Alligator mississippiensis: one gene and its partner. The protein of the gene in region 2 purifies or fractionates together with the protein of the main gene of each other region. This does not show direct contact. Links are inferred from orthologs where the notes say so. Each region holds a gene or a part of one and is shown on either strand. Other genes may lie near its edges.

Region 1 (6,967 bases), on a different chromosome or scaffold from region 2:
GTTTAGCTTGGGCTGCAGGCTCCAAAAGTCTGGTGACTGTGTCTATGATGCAATGGTTTGAGAGGGTAAATGCTGCAAATCTATCAGCATTAGCACTAGGCCATGAATTTTTACTCACAACGAATTAAGCATTCTCCTGCGTGAGTCAGAGTTACGGATGAGCAACAAGTGTGTCCAACAGAGATTAAGCAGTTTTTAATGCAGATGCCTGCTCCAGCTATACAGAATAAAATAGTCAGAAAAAAATATATATCCTGGATCAGGCCTTATTGGGTACCTCATCAAATAATACAGAGGACAAGGTAGACTTGCATTCAAGTTTTGAGAATGCTGGAGTACTGAGTTCCTAAATAATCCTTATTTTGGCAATCTCAAGGCGAAGGAACGATCTCCCCAGAGGAGTAGTAGTAACTTCATAGATCAATAATTTGAACAAATTATAAAGAACTGGTCCACATAGAATCAGTTGATGACTAAACAACCTCTGCTGCATGCCACTATGAGAAACAGATTATTCTGGACCAAATTTACCCCAGCTGACTGCCCTTTGGGCAGGGGGCTGGACTCGATGATCTTCCGAGGTCCCTTCCAGCCCTAATGTCTATGAAGTCTGTGAAGTCTATGAAATTTACAAAAGCATCATGACTTTTCTGGTTAAAGCATGGTACTAATTTCAGAGAGCCTAGAGCAATCCAACAGGCTGGAAGTGAGTGCAAGCAATCACTGAGGGCCTGGAAAGCTCTAGAGATTGCTGAAGATGTTGGATTAGAAAAAGAGATTGTGCAGACTACAGATTGATCTTCAGTCAACTTTGAATGATGTTTACGTCTATTATTTCTCTGATGGTGTTTTTGCTTAATTGCACCCCATTCTTAGAGACTATCTTTGTTTTCCAAATCTTTATTTTGAGGAAAGTGCAAGTCTTGCAGGCCTAAAGATTTTAAATTCCTCCTGTGACTGTGAATTTAAAAATTTACAATGTTGAAATGACTGTATTCAATGAAGTATTTTACAATTTTTTCTGAATGAAAAAAAACTTTATAATTGTTTGTAGGCTCCTGGCATTTCATTACATCAACAAAACTGTAGGCCTTTGCTTGAAGAAACTTTTCAGTCTTTAATGCCTTTGTGAAACAAGTGCTATACTCTGGAATTCGGGGGGAAATGGCTGCCATTCTTTGCAAGAACAATATCAAACTGGGAACAGCGGCATCTCTGCTGAGCCAGACTGTGAGACTGCAGAGAAGCTGCGTAAATAATGCTGCCTTAAAAGGGAGTTTGAATAAGCTTATGATTTTTTGCCAAACCTGTCTTCAAATTTTTGTCACATAAAACAAAAGGTTAATATTGGTTTTACAACTTGTAATCTTTCTATGCATAGAGCTTGATATCTGAAAATATAGGTTGACTATAAGCCAGTAGATAGGAAGTTTAAAATATTCAGCAGTAGTCATTAACTGGAAATCAAATCTGGAGCAGGCAAAGAGGCGGTGCAGACCCGTCTACGCCACCACACATGCAGGCATTCCCTGTGTTGCTACGTTGCAGTACAGGGGAGGTTTTTGACCCTGGGAGATCTTGGGGTCAAACAAATCTGCACCTTAAAGCAGGGCAGCACATGTGGTGGCAGTGTGTGCAGAGCCTGGCCTGCTAGAGCCACGCTCTGGCTGCCAGCCAGGCTCCCAGCTGCAGGAGCACCGTAGCTGCAGCTCCCCAAGACTCCAGGTAAGGCTTCTGGGGATAGCACAGTTACTGGCCCCAGCCACCCCTACCAACCCAAGGTAATCTTAAACTGCAAAGCATAAGAAGACAGTATAAAAGAGGTGTTTGTATGTGACACCAGCATTTACTAAATAAAGCCAAACCGCAGCAGGACTTGTGCTAAGCATCATGCACCCTCTCGTTATGAAAGGGTGGTAGCTGGGGACCCTGGAGAGGTAATGACAAAGATACCCAAGTGAAGGTGAAGGCTAGAGATTCAAAACCATGCTGCCAACCAAGAGTTAGGAACTGTTGCATCATTCCTGCTCCCTTTCTTTTCCCACCATTTCAATTCATTTACTCATTCATGTCTTAGGTTTATATCCTGCCCCAGCCAAAAGGCTTAGTGTAGCCTACTCAACACCCCAAAATCCGAAACTCCCCCTCATCCCAGTGCAACATTTTCTAATGAGAAGTTGTCTAATGAGATGACCATCCCCTCAGCTTTAGCCTCAGGTGGCCACACTGGAGAATCAAAAGATATGGGTTGGGTGATGCTTCCTGAGATCCCAAGGGACAGGGTTAGAAGCAGGTGAAGCAGGAAATACCTGCACTTGGAATTTCCTGGCTGCTCTGCAGGCAGAAGGCAGGGCGAGGCGTTTCCTCCGGGGCTAACTCGTTCAGAGAGGAATAGGCTTGTGTATGCAACAGCCCACTTCATAAGGACACAAGAACTGCTGTTTACTGGGTCAAACCACAGGTCCCTCTTGCCCAGTCTGGTGTGTCACACGGTCTAGCGCACACCTATCTTCAGTGCGTCAAGCTACAGCCCCTTCACTGCCTCAAGAGCCTTTTGCTTAGGTTTTGGCTGCACTACTTCCTGCACCTTAATTTATACACTCCCTGTCCATGGCTCCACCAAATCGTGCAACCTCCTGGCCCTAGCCAAGCTAGCCATGTATCTGACAGGGAAGGAGGCTTTGACTGGGATGACCTCTGGTGACTTTGAAGCCGTCTTCCTGGCCCTCATCCAAGCACATCTCCAGGCAGTTTCAGTAGGCAGTGGCCACTGGTTCCTTGGACTCATTCAAGTGTCCTCTGCTAGGTGTCCCCCCTTGGTACACTCATTAACCTGTGACCGTACTCTTGTTCCTGTTCTGTTTATTTGTCCCAAAGAACATGCTGGTGTGCCTGTAGTAGCCTGTCTTAGCAAGGAAGGCTTGTAGTTTGTCTTGGTGGATCTAGGTACACGTTCCCTGGCACACCAACCAGTCCTGTGTCGCACTCTGGTGCATGCCTGTCTTGAGTGTGGCAGGCTGCAGCCTGTTCACTGCCTCCTCAAGAGCCTCTTGGGGTGCTGGCTGCACCACTCCAGCTTCTTTTTGTTTATGCGCTCCCCATGCACAGCCCCACCAAGTCCCGCGACCTCCTGCTCAACCTCCTGGATCGACCTGACCTGGGGGAAGCTGTGGTCAGGAGGACCCCACCCTGGGACTGTGGGCCTGTTTTCATGTCCCTCTCTGCTCATATGTCTTCAGGCAGAGTTGCACTGGGTAGGGTCCCTTGGCTCCTTGGACTTGCTCAAGCACCAGTAGGCACTGGCCAATGTGCTCTGCTCCCCACTCATGCACCCCTTAACAACCTCTGCCCATCTGTTTTCACCTTTATTCCCCCCCCCATCAGCAACCCCCTGGAATAAAAGGAGGGGCGGGGGAGGGCGGGTGGTAGCAGGTTTTTTATGGGCATCAAACAGGCAGGTGGCAGAAGGGGACGCTGAAAGGGGAGTGAACTGGGGATGAACAGGGTTGGGTTTTTTTCACTGCTCCTTTCCCACTTGCAGCCTTTAAGAGAGCAGTTCCCAAAATTGGGATCGCAGCATCAAGAGCTGAGGGAGTCCTGAGACTGGGGGTTGGAAATGAGAGGGCCATGCCTAGGAAATGGAGTGATGCTGAGGTCAAGTTTGGGAAGCACTGCTTTAAGGCCCAGCTCCTCCGCCTGCCGAGTTGTGCCCCCCTCCCCTCTGCAGGGGGGGAATCCAACCCCGTCCCAGTAGCCCCACCCCTCCCTTGTCCTCGCTAAGTGCGCCTGCGCACTCGCGCCCCTCCCCCCCTCCCGAACACACTGCGCCTGCGCGAGGCAGGGAACGCGAGAGAAAGGGAGAGGGGGCGGGGCGCGCGCGGAGCCCTCACTTCCGGTTGGACGCCGAGCGGGCGCGAGGCGCAATTCAGCTGCCGCCGCTTGCCCGCCTACCCCCCTCCCCCCCTCCCACCGCTTGCCCGCCCGCCAGTGGGGAGGAAGCGCTCAGCGGCCTCCCCGCGCAGCCACCTGGCCCCCGTCCCAGCGCGGTGAGTGAGTGCGGCTCCCCCATCCCTCTGCGCCTTCCCCCCGCAGCCTCCAGCGCCGCGCTGTGCGCAGCGGGGGCCCCTCCCCCACCAGGGGCAGCAACGGGGCGCGCGGGGGGCGGGGCTTAACTCGCGTGCGCGGGGGGGAGGGGCGGGCGGCAATGGCGCCAGCTGAGGACGGGGCTTAACGGGCGGGGCTTAGCTCAGCGTGGTGGGGAGGGGCGCTGCCTCCTGGCCTGGCGGGGGAGGGGCGCGGGCAAGTCGCGGGGGTGGGGGTCTCAGTGGAGAAGAGGTGGGTGAGGAGGGGAGAGCCGTGCAGCAGAGGGCAGCAGCAGGGGAGGTGCCCCAGATACGGACACTCTTTGCTTCTCAGATTTGAATTTCCCCTTGCCTGGCTAGCAGGCTTCTCTGCCTCTGAGGAAGCAGCCCTTGGGGCCCAGAGCTGCCCAGGATGATCAGAGGACTTTTGTCCGTGTCTCCCCCCCCCAATGAACAGTCTCCACTGGCTGTAGCAGCAGAAGAGGCTGCTTTGGCTGCCTTGTCTCGCTGAAGGGCACAGGTTTTCAAACGTCCTGAAGTCACTAGATCCTTTCGTGTTGCTTCTGCTGCAGAACCCGCCACTCCTGTCCTTTCCTACCCCTGTCCTACAAAGGATGTGGCAAAGTTAGGATCCAGAGGTGGGGCACAAAGGTGATAAAGGGTTTGGAAAGCAAGTCCCACGAAAGAGCTAGGCACTTGCAGCTTGAGGAAAAGATGGGATATGATAGCAATCTTCAAATACTTGAATGGGCGCCATAAAGAAGAGGGGTGCCATTCTCTCTGGCTGCAGAGTTGAGGATGCAGATCAATGGCTGGAAGTTGCAGCAAAGTATGTTTAGTTTGGATATTTGGAAAAAAAACTCCTTTACTGTTAAAAGAGCGAGGCAGAGGAGTAGACTGACTAGGGAAGTTGTGAACTCTGTCACTGAAGATGTTCAAAAAGAGGTTGGGCAGCCACTGGTCAGGTATAGCTATGCTTATGTATTCTGTGGGTACATGTTTTCTGGCTTCTAGATTACTCTTGCTCCACCCCTTTCTGCTACATGTGTCAGGGTGTTTTTAAGCCTCCTTCATTGGGTGTTGGCTACAGCCAAGGCTGGGGAGTTTGACACCCAGTGGTCCTGCTGGGACCAAAGCTGGATGATTCTGGCTAGAGGATCTTGCCCCTCTGCTCGGGTTCGGACCATTCTTTCCTGACACCCCTCCCCCCCCGCCATATTTGGGATCTGGAAGGAATCGTACCCCATGGTTAGATTGGTATGGACTGTTGGCCCTCTACCCAGGGTCTCATAGAAGCAGGATATTTGTTCCTCTACTTTATACCTGTGGCAGGTTAGGGTGTTAGATCTGTGTTGTGTCAGGGTTTACACAGTCTTATGTGGAGTTTAGATTATTGTTTGTATGGGATCATTTGGATAGGGATGATCCTGCTTCAGGAAGGGGGTTGGACTAGATGGCCCTGGAGGGCCCTTCCAGCCTTGCTTCTCTGTGATTCTAAAAAGCTGATATGGAGCCTGGAAACCTGGCAGTGATGACGTGCTGCTTCCGCTATTGCCCCCAGTTTCTTTGGGGAAGCTCTGATGACGTGTTGTGGAACCCCAGGGTTCCAGGGAATGCAGTGTGAAAGGCACTGGCTTAGTGTAAAAACAGACGTTGCCAAACAACGAAGTGGATCAGCTGTGGCTGGCATGTCCCACCACGGCCAGTCCACTTTATTTGATGAAACATACCACTCCTTGTTGTGCATCAGGCAAAGGCCTGATGAGAGACAAAAGGCAGCACATTCCTCTTGCCTGTAAATTTTCTGCACCTGCTTGCCAGGACCCATACTGACCTATGATTCCCACACAACCATGGGGTGGCATGGGACCTGGAGAAACCCAAGGGCTCTGTGCCTCCGTACTGATCCATGCCTCTGCATGAAGCATGGGTTGACACAGGTCCTAGCAAGGAAGCACAGGGCATCATGGGACTTAGGGAATTTGCTCAGCACAGTTCCTGGTGTGGATGCATGGGGCACTGGGGATTCCCCAGGTCCCATGCTGCTGTGTGGGTCCCAACCTGGAGGCACAGAGCTCCAGGAATTCCCTAGGTCCCTTGCTTCCACACCAGGACCTACACAGACTTTACCCACTTAAGGAAAAGTGCCCCATGAGATCTCAAGGCAGGTCTCCATAAGCAGGAAACCCCAACTTTCCCTGCTTAGAGAGATGCTCTAGGATTCCCTAGGATGTCTCTGTAAGCAAAGAAAGCTGGGCAGGTGCTTCCTGAGGGGGCTGATTTCTGTGTGGGAAATCCTGAGGTGTGCAAGATGGGGGCCTTTCAAGCCCATGGCATACCTGCCCAGGGTGGCTGGAGAGTTTGGGCATCTTCAGGCTTCCCGCACTCTCCCACCACAGGGCAAATAGATGTGCAGTTCAATAAAACAACTCTTTTATGCTACTTTTTGTTGTGGATACGCATGCGGTGCAACAAAAGGTATGGATTGTCTACTTTGTCACTGTTTGTGCTTCCATAAAAAATGTTTATAACAGCACACATGCCACATCAGGCGACATTCTATCCTTAGATACCAAGTATCTCTTAATAAAATTCCATGTTACGAGCAGGTACCAGTCTGCAGCGAATGAATCCTACCATGGAGTCCCACACAGTTCAAAGATGGTGTCAGGACCAAGCATTGTCTCCTTTCCAGTTTCTTCTATCTGAGCCCTTCCTTGAAATGAGATTCTGCTGTCCCACGGCCCCAGTTTCTGAAAGTGTACTTTCAGTCTCCTCAGCCCTTTCCTCCCCTTCCTCCTCCCCACCCTTGTCTATGGGTACTTTGGGCCAGATTCTGTTCCATCTCAGTTGTAACTAGTGATTTCTGCACCCTAGGTGGATAT
Region 2 (7,712 bases):
ATAAGTTAAATAATTCTAAATCAAAATTTGTACTATAACAAATATGGTACATACCATGTAAATTTAAACAAAGTGACAAAAACAAATTATTTGGAAATGAAGTTAAACATGAGACTGACTAATATGGTTTAAATATTACTGCAGTCCACTGATGCAAAATATCAAGAAAGATGCTGAAAAATTAAATTGGGGGGGAGAGGGGGGAAGCAACACAGTTGGTTTCTGCTTCACAGATTAATTAATGTCTTCTCTCAGATGCTTCCCAAGAAGGTTAGGGAGGCATATTTTAGAAAGACAGATATTTATTTCAACACTTATTCAGAAGAGAAGAATGGCAATACTCCAAACTCCCAAATCCAGTGCAAAACTAAAATATTCAGGAGTTTGAAAGTTTCTGATCTTTAGATTTTAATTTACTATATGTAAAATCATTATATATCCCAAGTCTGAATTCAAATGCAGAGAAAGAGAAGGCAAAGTATTTTAACAGTACAGAGGAATAATGAGACTTACTAAACTAAAATGGACATAAACAAAAAGGAGGAAAAATTAATTTCTAAACTCTGATAACTGTAGTAATGGGTGTTTCAAGCTAGCAATGTGCTTAAAGTTAGGTATGTGCTTAAGTACTTTGCTAAATAGGGACAACAGTAGAAAAACATTTTAGTGACATCATATTTAAACTGCTTTACCTCTTTAGCTGTCTAAACAGAAACTTCCTACTGCCAAGTGGCAACTTCTCTAAATGCATATCCTTATTCTTGTAGTCAGCCCCTTACTGTATGCTGCTGAATGAACTTGTGACTGAAAATACTGTGCTACATCTTGTTTCATTTCCAGAGCCAGATACAGCCTTGCAATGAATTTCTCAGTGATTATGAAACCACATGTTGAAACCTTTTGACTTCTTGCCTTGACACCAACCAAGTTGCAGGTGGTTCCAATTTTAGACTCATGGCAAAAACCCTGTGGCAGGCGTCCAAAAAAACTGGCAAGCTGCAGAAGCAACATACAATGCTCCAACTTACTATCTTTGGAACTGCTAGTTTGATATATCAATTAATCTTTGCTGCTTTGCTTAGATCTTTTGCTAAAATGTAATTTACACTATAAAAAAGGTCGAAGTTAGGTTATAATATGTACCTCAACCTACTTAATTATGGTAAATGGCATTACAATGTAGCTACATTATAAAAAAAAGTTATGTCTTGGTCAGGGTTAGTTCATGACCCTGCCCTAACCTTGACCCACTCTTAATAACAATTAGCCCTTAGGGAAATAGTTAATTATTTGTTATAATAAGTCTCTTGGACCTCTTTAGTAGCAGATACTTAATCAAAAAAATCCACTGCATATATCTAATAAATTGGACAGGACATGTATACTATTGCTGTTCACTGGATGGAATCACAAGTATTAATTTTTATGTCATATGCTCTATAATGTTAACAATCAGAGAAGTCTCCTTTATTCTGAGTTATATAAAGCAGGGTTAGGATTTGATTCCTATTTCTACTATCACCATGACTCCGAGTAGCGTAATATGAAGCATAGTGGCAGCCAGTAGTATTTGCTCCCATAGCACAAAATGGCATGGATTACCCTTTCATTCCATATCCATACACCAAAAATTATAAATAGCTCACCAATACTGAGATTCCTGCTGAATCCTCTCTTTCTTTTTTGCCCTGCTTATTAATTGCATCTTGAATTTAGCATCTCCATTACGTACACTGGATGAAGGCAAACAGGGCCTGGTGACTCCTGATGATCCCTATTTTAAATATAAGAAATATTGTAAATATAATGGACAAGTCCAATATGGTGGTGTGGTAAATGTTGATTTTGTTATTAATGGTGATCACAGTAGTTAGAGACCTGCTTTTGCTATAAAATGTTATAATTTGGAGTTGAATTGTATTAATAATGCCTGAACTCCTTTTAAAAGCTTTTTTGACCTTTTTAGTCATTAGGGTAGACCAGTAATGAAAATAGTAATTGGCTTCAAGGGATTTTGTTCTCTTATGATTCATAAATATTTCTACTTTAGAGCAAACATTCTTGGGGGAAAAAAAGTGAGAGATGCTGGTACTCTATGAAATGATTCCTTTCTACAATACCAAGCACGAGGGATTTCTGTCCCATGACTGCAGTTCCTCCTTACTACCGCAAAACACATAGATAAATAATAGTTACTTTTATTATTATTATTAACTTCACTGGCTTTACTCCAGCAGAGAATTCAGTCCATTACATCAGCAACAAATGATATATAGGTACATACATGCAAATATATCCCACCAACATGTGGCAGAAAACCTGATGCATCATGCAAGCTAGAAAGAATGACCGGCAATTCAAATCAAAGTGCTTGTTTAATCAATAACAGGATAATAATGACATCAATAAAAAATGAAATGGATAAATGCTAGTGACATCTGATTGCCATATAAAATTGATTCTTTTGATCAGACTATTATTTACCAACTTCACAGAAGTTTTGTGTGAATTAATAAATTAATATTCTTAAAGTGCACTGAAGATGCATGTAATAATTGCCAACAATTATTAGCAAATATGAACTATATACATATATTACTGTTGCTGTAAAAGGTATCATCTTATTAAAAATAAACATTATCCCATGAGTGATGAGTTATATATACACTTATTATTGTCTTTGTTCTGTGGTAAAAAAATCATAAAACTTATCAGCATTGCTAAATGTAATTATAAATAAATACGATTAGTATTCATTATTACAGAGGATATAAAACATTTAAATGTATATGTGGGAGAATGTCAACTTCCGATGAACGCTACTAGGTTGAGAGTCTGGGAGACTGAAAATTATCTAGTGCCAATCTAAACAAGTGTCAAACTTTAAATATTGAGAAGATACTGATTAATTATACTAGGATTATCCACATACTTGATGTTAGACACGTGCTTAAGCTTCCTATTGAAATGGGGCTGGTATACCTAGATGGGCAGAGCCTACAGATCTGCCCGGCACTCACCATCACATGAATATGCTTCAGTCATGGCCTGTTGGGGACCTTTATGGAGGCAGTAGAGGAGTTCAGTTTCCATGGCCCATTTAATTCTTGGGCTCATAGCTGTCGCTGCCTGAAAGGGAAGAAATTAATGCCAATGGTGATAAAATGACAGGTTTTATAGTAGGGACATAAAACCACCGTACTTCTGAATGTCTTTGGTCATCCATAGAAAAATATTACAATATGTCTGACAACAAATATGAACATTTGATTCCCAACACCTATTAGAAAGCCTCCAAAGTATTTGTCATTAACAACTTTTTCTTAACTAACTTGTTGGGTTCAAATCTTAGGTGATGGGTCTGAATGTTGAGATCAGGTCAGTAAATAAAATGAATTATAATAGCTCAAAACTACCAGCTGTAGGTGGCAGGTTTAAATGTCAACTACCAGGCTAATTATTTAAAAACATTACCCATTACAAACTGTGAGTTCATGTGCTAACAGTGTCACTAGGCACCTAACAGTCATCAGGAACCCCTCCCTATTACTAACCATTTAGAAAATCAGTAGCCATCGTGGGTGGTGGATTTGAGACACAGTGACGTTCCTACCTACTAGTTAATGACTGCTGCAGGTGGTGGATTTGAGACACAGCCATGTCACTATCTATCTCATAGCTAATGACTGTTGCAGGTAGTGGGTTCGAGACACAGCAATGTTGCTGTCTACCTCATAGCTAACGACCACTGCAGGTGGTGAATTCAAGAAACAGCCATTTTGCTATCTACTTCATAGCTAACAACCATGGCAGGTGGTGGGCTCGAGACACAGCCATATCTCTGCCTACCTCATAGCTAACGACCATTGCAGGTAGTGGATTCAAGATACAGCCAGGTTGTTCGTCCTGCCTAAATCGCTAAGCAGCAGGTTCAGGTGGAGACCTAACCATGTCACCAAGCCCAAGCGGATGATCCTTATTGGCAGCAAATTAATTTCAAGACCAACCCGTGCTGCCAACCCCATGGCCAACAACTGAAGAAGGCGGCAAATTCAAGCCCAACTGGTGACCCTTCCAACACCAGCAACGGCTGTTGGAGGTAGGTTCAATCCACGCCTCTGAGATTCTCGGCTTGCCTACGGAAAAAAACATGGCGCACATGAGGGCGAATGGAAACATTAAATATTTGGCTTTTACCACAGAGGGGGGTGCGGCAGAGCAGCTCCCCCAGCATGGCTAGCAGGGCCCTCAAAGGGCGCTGCTGATCCTACCCTATTCCTCCACTCCTGCACCTTGCCACCAATTTCTGGACCTGGAGGAATGGAGCCCACCCAAAAAAAAACCCCTAGGGGCCTCCCACCTCCAAAAAAAACAATGGAAAAAAAAATCCCCAAATAATTTGTGCCTCACACAAACTTCACCAAGCCATGCTAGGGTGCGCCCTGCTCCTAGTGATGTCACCCCTTAGCCAGCCAATCCCAAAGCAGCTTGGGAGCCGAGGAGGAAATGACGTCACCGTATCCCTCCGCCAGCCAGGTCCCCTTTTTTGTGTGTGTGTGTGTGTGTCTGTTGGTGCCTTGTGTGTGTATCAACCCGCAGCGCTTTTTTTTTTTTCTCCTTTTCCGGGGGGGGTGTGCAAAAAAAAAATTATTCGGGGGGGGGAGGGGGAAGCTCATGCAACCTGCCCTCCCCTTCCCGCTGCCCTTTCCGAGGTGCTGTGGGGGTGCGTGTCCCTTTAAGAGCGTGCGAGAGCCGCCTCGGCTGAGCAGCGGGAGAAAGCGAGTGAGGAAGGTGAGTTGGCGCGAGCCCGTTATGTGGGGGGAGGGGGGGGCGGGCGCAACGGAATCAACCGGATCGGGGCGGGGGGGGGGTGAACCGCGGGGGGGGGTCGCGCGGGTGGCGGTTGGTTACCGTTGGAACCGGTTCGAACCGCCCGGGCCGGGGGGCGGGGGAGGGGAGGGGAGGGAGGGAAGGAGGCAGGGAGTGGGGGGGGAGGCGGGCGGGAGAGCGAGCGAGGGGCCGCGCGCGCCGTACACAAAGCGGCCGCGAGACGCTGTTGGCGGGGAGGAGGAGGAGGAGGAGGGAGCGCGAGGGGAGGGGCCGCTCCCGCTGGGCGGCGGGATACTGCCTCGCTGCCTGGAAGGCGGAGTGATCCGCGCCCCCCCCCCCCTCCTGCTGAGGCGGGTAGTGACCCCCTGTGTGAAGCGCCCCTCATGCTAGAGTGCCCCCGCCTCAGCCCTGTCTGCAGGGGGAGGGGACAGGCTGCACCCCCTCCCCCTTTCCCCAAGCTGGTGCTGGGTGGGCGGCCATGTTGGGCAACGGGATTATTTTTTCTCTCCCTTTTTTTTTTTTTTTTTTTTCTTTCTCAGCAGCCACAATGAGCTGAGGCTGGCTGGCGGGGGGAGGTGCGGCCCCGCCTTTGCAAAGGAAGAACGGACAGGGCATTTGCTTCGGGGGTCTTTTGCGGGGGCTGCTCTGGCCCTCCACCTCGTAATCACGGGGGTGCCTCGTAATCCTCGAGGCCTGAGTCTGAGTTGCTCCCCTTGGCCTCTCCTCAGGGGCTTCCCTTGGTCCAGGGGGTTTTCCTTGGCAAGCTTGCTGCTGGGCTCCCTGGCGAGGGCGTTCCCTCTGGCCCCAGTGAAGCGTCTTAGCCCTGTTCTCCTTGGTCTGGCTGCCCCACAGGGTGAGAAGCATTGCTTTGGCCTGACAACTGCTTTTCTTTCCCCCTTCAGAGTGATTGAGGATGGCTGACACCAGGGCATCCTTTAAAGTTACCTTCTGCTTGCTATCTTCCTCTGCACATGGGACATGGAGAATGTGCGGGTCCAGGCAGGAACACCCCCCTCTACGCATGCACGCAGGCACTGACAACGCATGCTTTGCTTTACTGACTTAACAGTAGTTGCAGCTGTTGGCAGGGCACACCAAATGTCTGCAAGTGACTGACCGTGAGGAGGGGGAGGCCGATATTTGTTTCTGGAGATGTCCTGTAGTGGTTTATGACAAATGGGCCTGCCCCGTTCTACACCCCGCTATCCTGTATCTCGCTACTTGCGGGTCATGCTGATTGTAACATCTGCCTCTGAATACAAAGTGTAGCTAATTATTATATATGCATTCCTAAATTGCCCCTGGGTATAAAATATATTGACATAAATCACATCAGAGACTGCCTGTCTGATCCATCCACCACATCTACCCAAATGTCCTCCAGCTTGTAGCTACTCTGAGCCTCCAGCGTGTCTGCGGGTTCTGCAAATGTTATGGTTGCCCTTTTTGTGTATGTGCACACATCCAGACACACACGCACACACTTTATGTATGTGCATGCACACTCGCACACACTTTATGTACATCTGCACACACCTTGTTAATAGAGGTACAGATGCACAAATACTAACTGGCCATGACCCTTCAAATGGCTCCATATGGGCAGACCTTTGCACCTGCACATATACCCACTGAAATTTAGCAGAGTGTTATGTGGAAATAGCTTGCACAGAGCTGGTGATCAAATCAGAGCCAAGATGATGCACATACCGTTAGGTTTAGGCAGAACAGGCTTGCAATTTATGGGTAGGTCTGGTCTCATACAAGATCTTAGAAGTGTAGGACCAGTCACTACGCACAGATATATCAGAAAGCAAGTTTTAATTCTGCCGTTCTAACTATGGGAGCAAATAATTTTAATGAATGTATTATTATATATTTTCTATATATTAATATATTGTAATAGGCATCCCATGCTTGAAAGCTTTAATAATACAGCTAATAAAGTGATAACAACATAGACAATTTAATAAGCCTTTTAAAACAATCACTCTAGATGGTGAACTAAAATGAAACACATCAGTTAACAAAGAGTACAATTGTTTTGTCCTGCAAGTTGCACCTCAAGTACCCAAACCCATCCCCTTCCATCTGAAATGCTGCACAGAGGTTTAAAATAGTCATATCAGCAATGATGAGATGGTCGCATAAGATCCAATACCTGTTCTTTTTCTTTCCTGCTTAAGAACCAGTGTCATATGTCAAAGTTGATGGAAGTTACTTTTCCAGGTTATAGATTGCAAATTATTTCAATAACAGGGGGTTATGTCCTGTTCTAAGCATGGGATTAGTTTACATTGTTGAGAAATATTTAATACAGTATCATCAGTTTTCAGAGATGGTACAAGATAAGATACACTCCTTCCTCTGATTGTTTACCGTTAAAATATGGAGGGAAGACAAGGGACAAGACAGCAGCTCAGATGAGGGGAGTGTATAGTGGCAAGGAGAGAAGTGGGACAGACCAAGGAGGTGGGTGTGGAGGGAGATTGCGAAGGACACAGCTTGATTCAGTGCATTACTGTACTCAATTTCTGTCTAGCATGATTCTACTTAAGGAATTAAACCCTTTTTTTTTTAAAGTGAAGGGGTCTGATTTTTAACTTTGTTTTCTGGCCTATTTAAGCAAATAGGGGGAAAAAATTGAAGTGGCAGCTACTTAGGGATATAGCACTTTCCCACATTCAAGAATTGTGGAAGGAAACTGAAATGTTAACTAAGATGCACCATAAATACCCTCAGGTTAAATCATCTAAGGAGCTATACCAATTGACAAACTTGTTTGGAAAGAAGAATGTACATAAATGTACACAGTAGTGTTAAATTAATCTTTGGGATACACGTAATAGTCTTAGTCAACTCCTACAGTTCTTAGCCAAAAC

The links. Proteins that work in one complex are often made in the same cells at the same time.
Region 1: the proteins of POGZ (region 2) and CHAMP1 purify together in Homo sapiens (affinity purification with mass spectrometry; 4 studies listed by BioGRID and IntAct, with this or other methods). This does not show direct contact. The link is inferred for Alligator mississippiensis from reciprocal best matches to the Homo sapiens genes POGZ and CHAMP1.

What each region holds. Positions count from the first base shown.
Region 1 is NC_081824.1:350,550,879-350,557,845, reverse strand, and holds the start of CHAMP1 (chromosome alignment-maintaining phosphoprotein 1), read left to right. Parts: upstream 1-3,882; 5' UTR 3,883-4,046; intron 4,047-4,318; exon of another isoform or gene 4,319-6,967. UniProt on the Homo sapiens protein: Required for proper alignment of chromosomes at metaphase and their accurate segregation during mitosis. Involved in the maintenance of spindle microtubules attachment to the kinetochore during sister chromatid biorientation.
Region 2 is NC_081838.1:19,811,638-19,819,349, reverse strand, and holds the start of POGZ (pogo transposable element with ZNF domain), read left to right. Parts: upstream 1-4,639; 5' UTR 4,640-4,791; intron 4,792-4,911; exon of another isoform or gene 4,912-4,977; intron 4,978-7,712. UniProt on the Homo sapiens protein: Plays a role in mitotic cell cycle progression and is involved in kinetochore assembly and mitotic sister chromatid cohesion.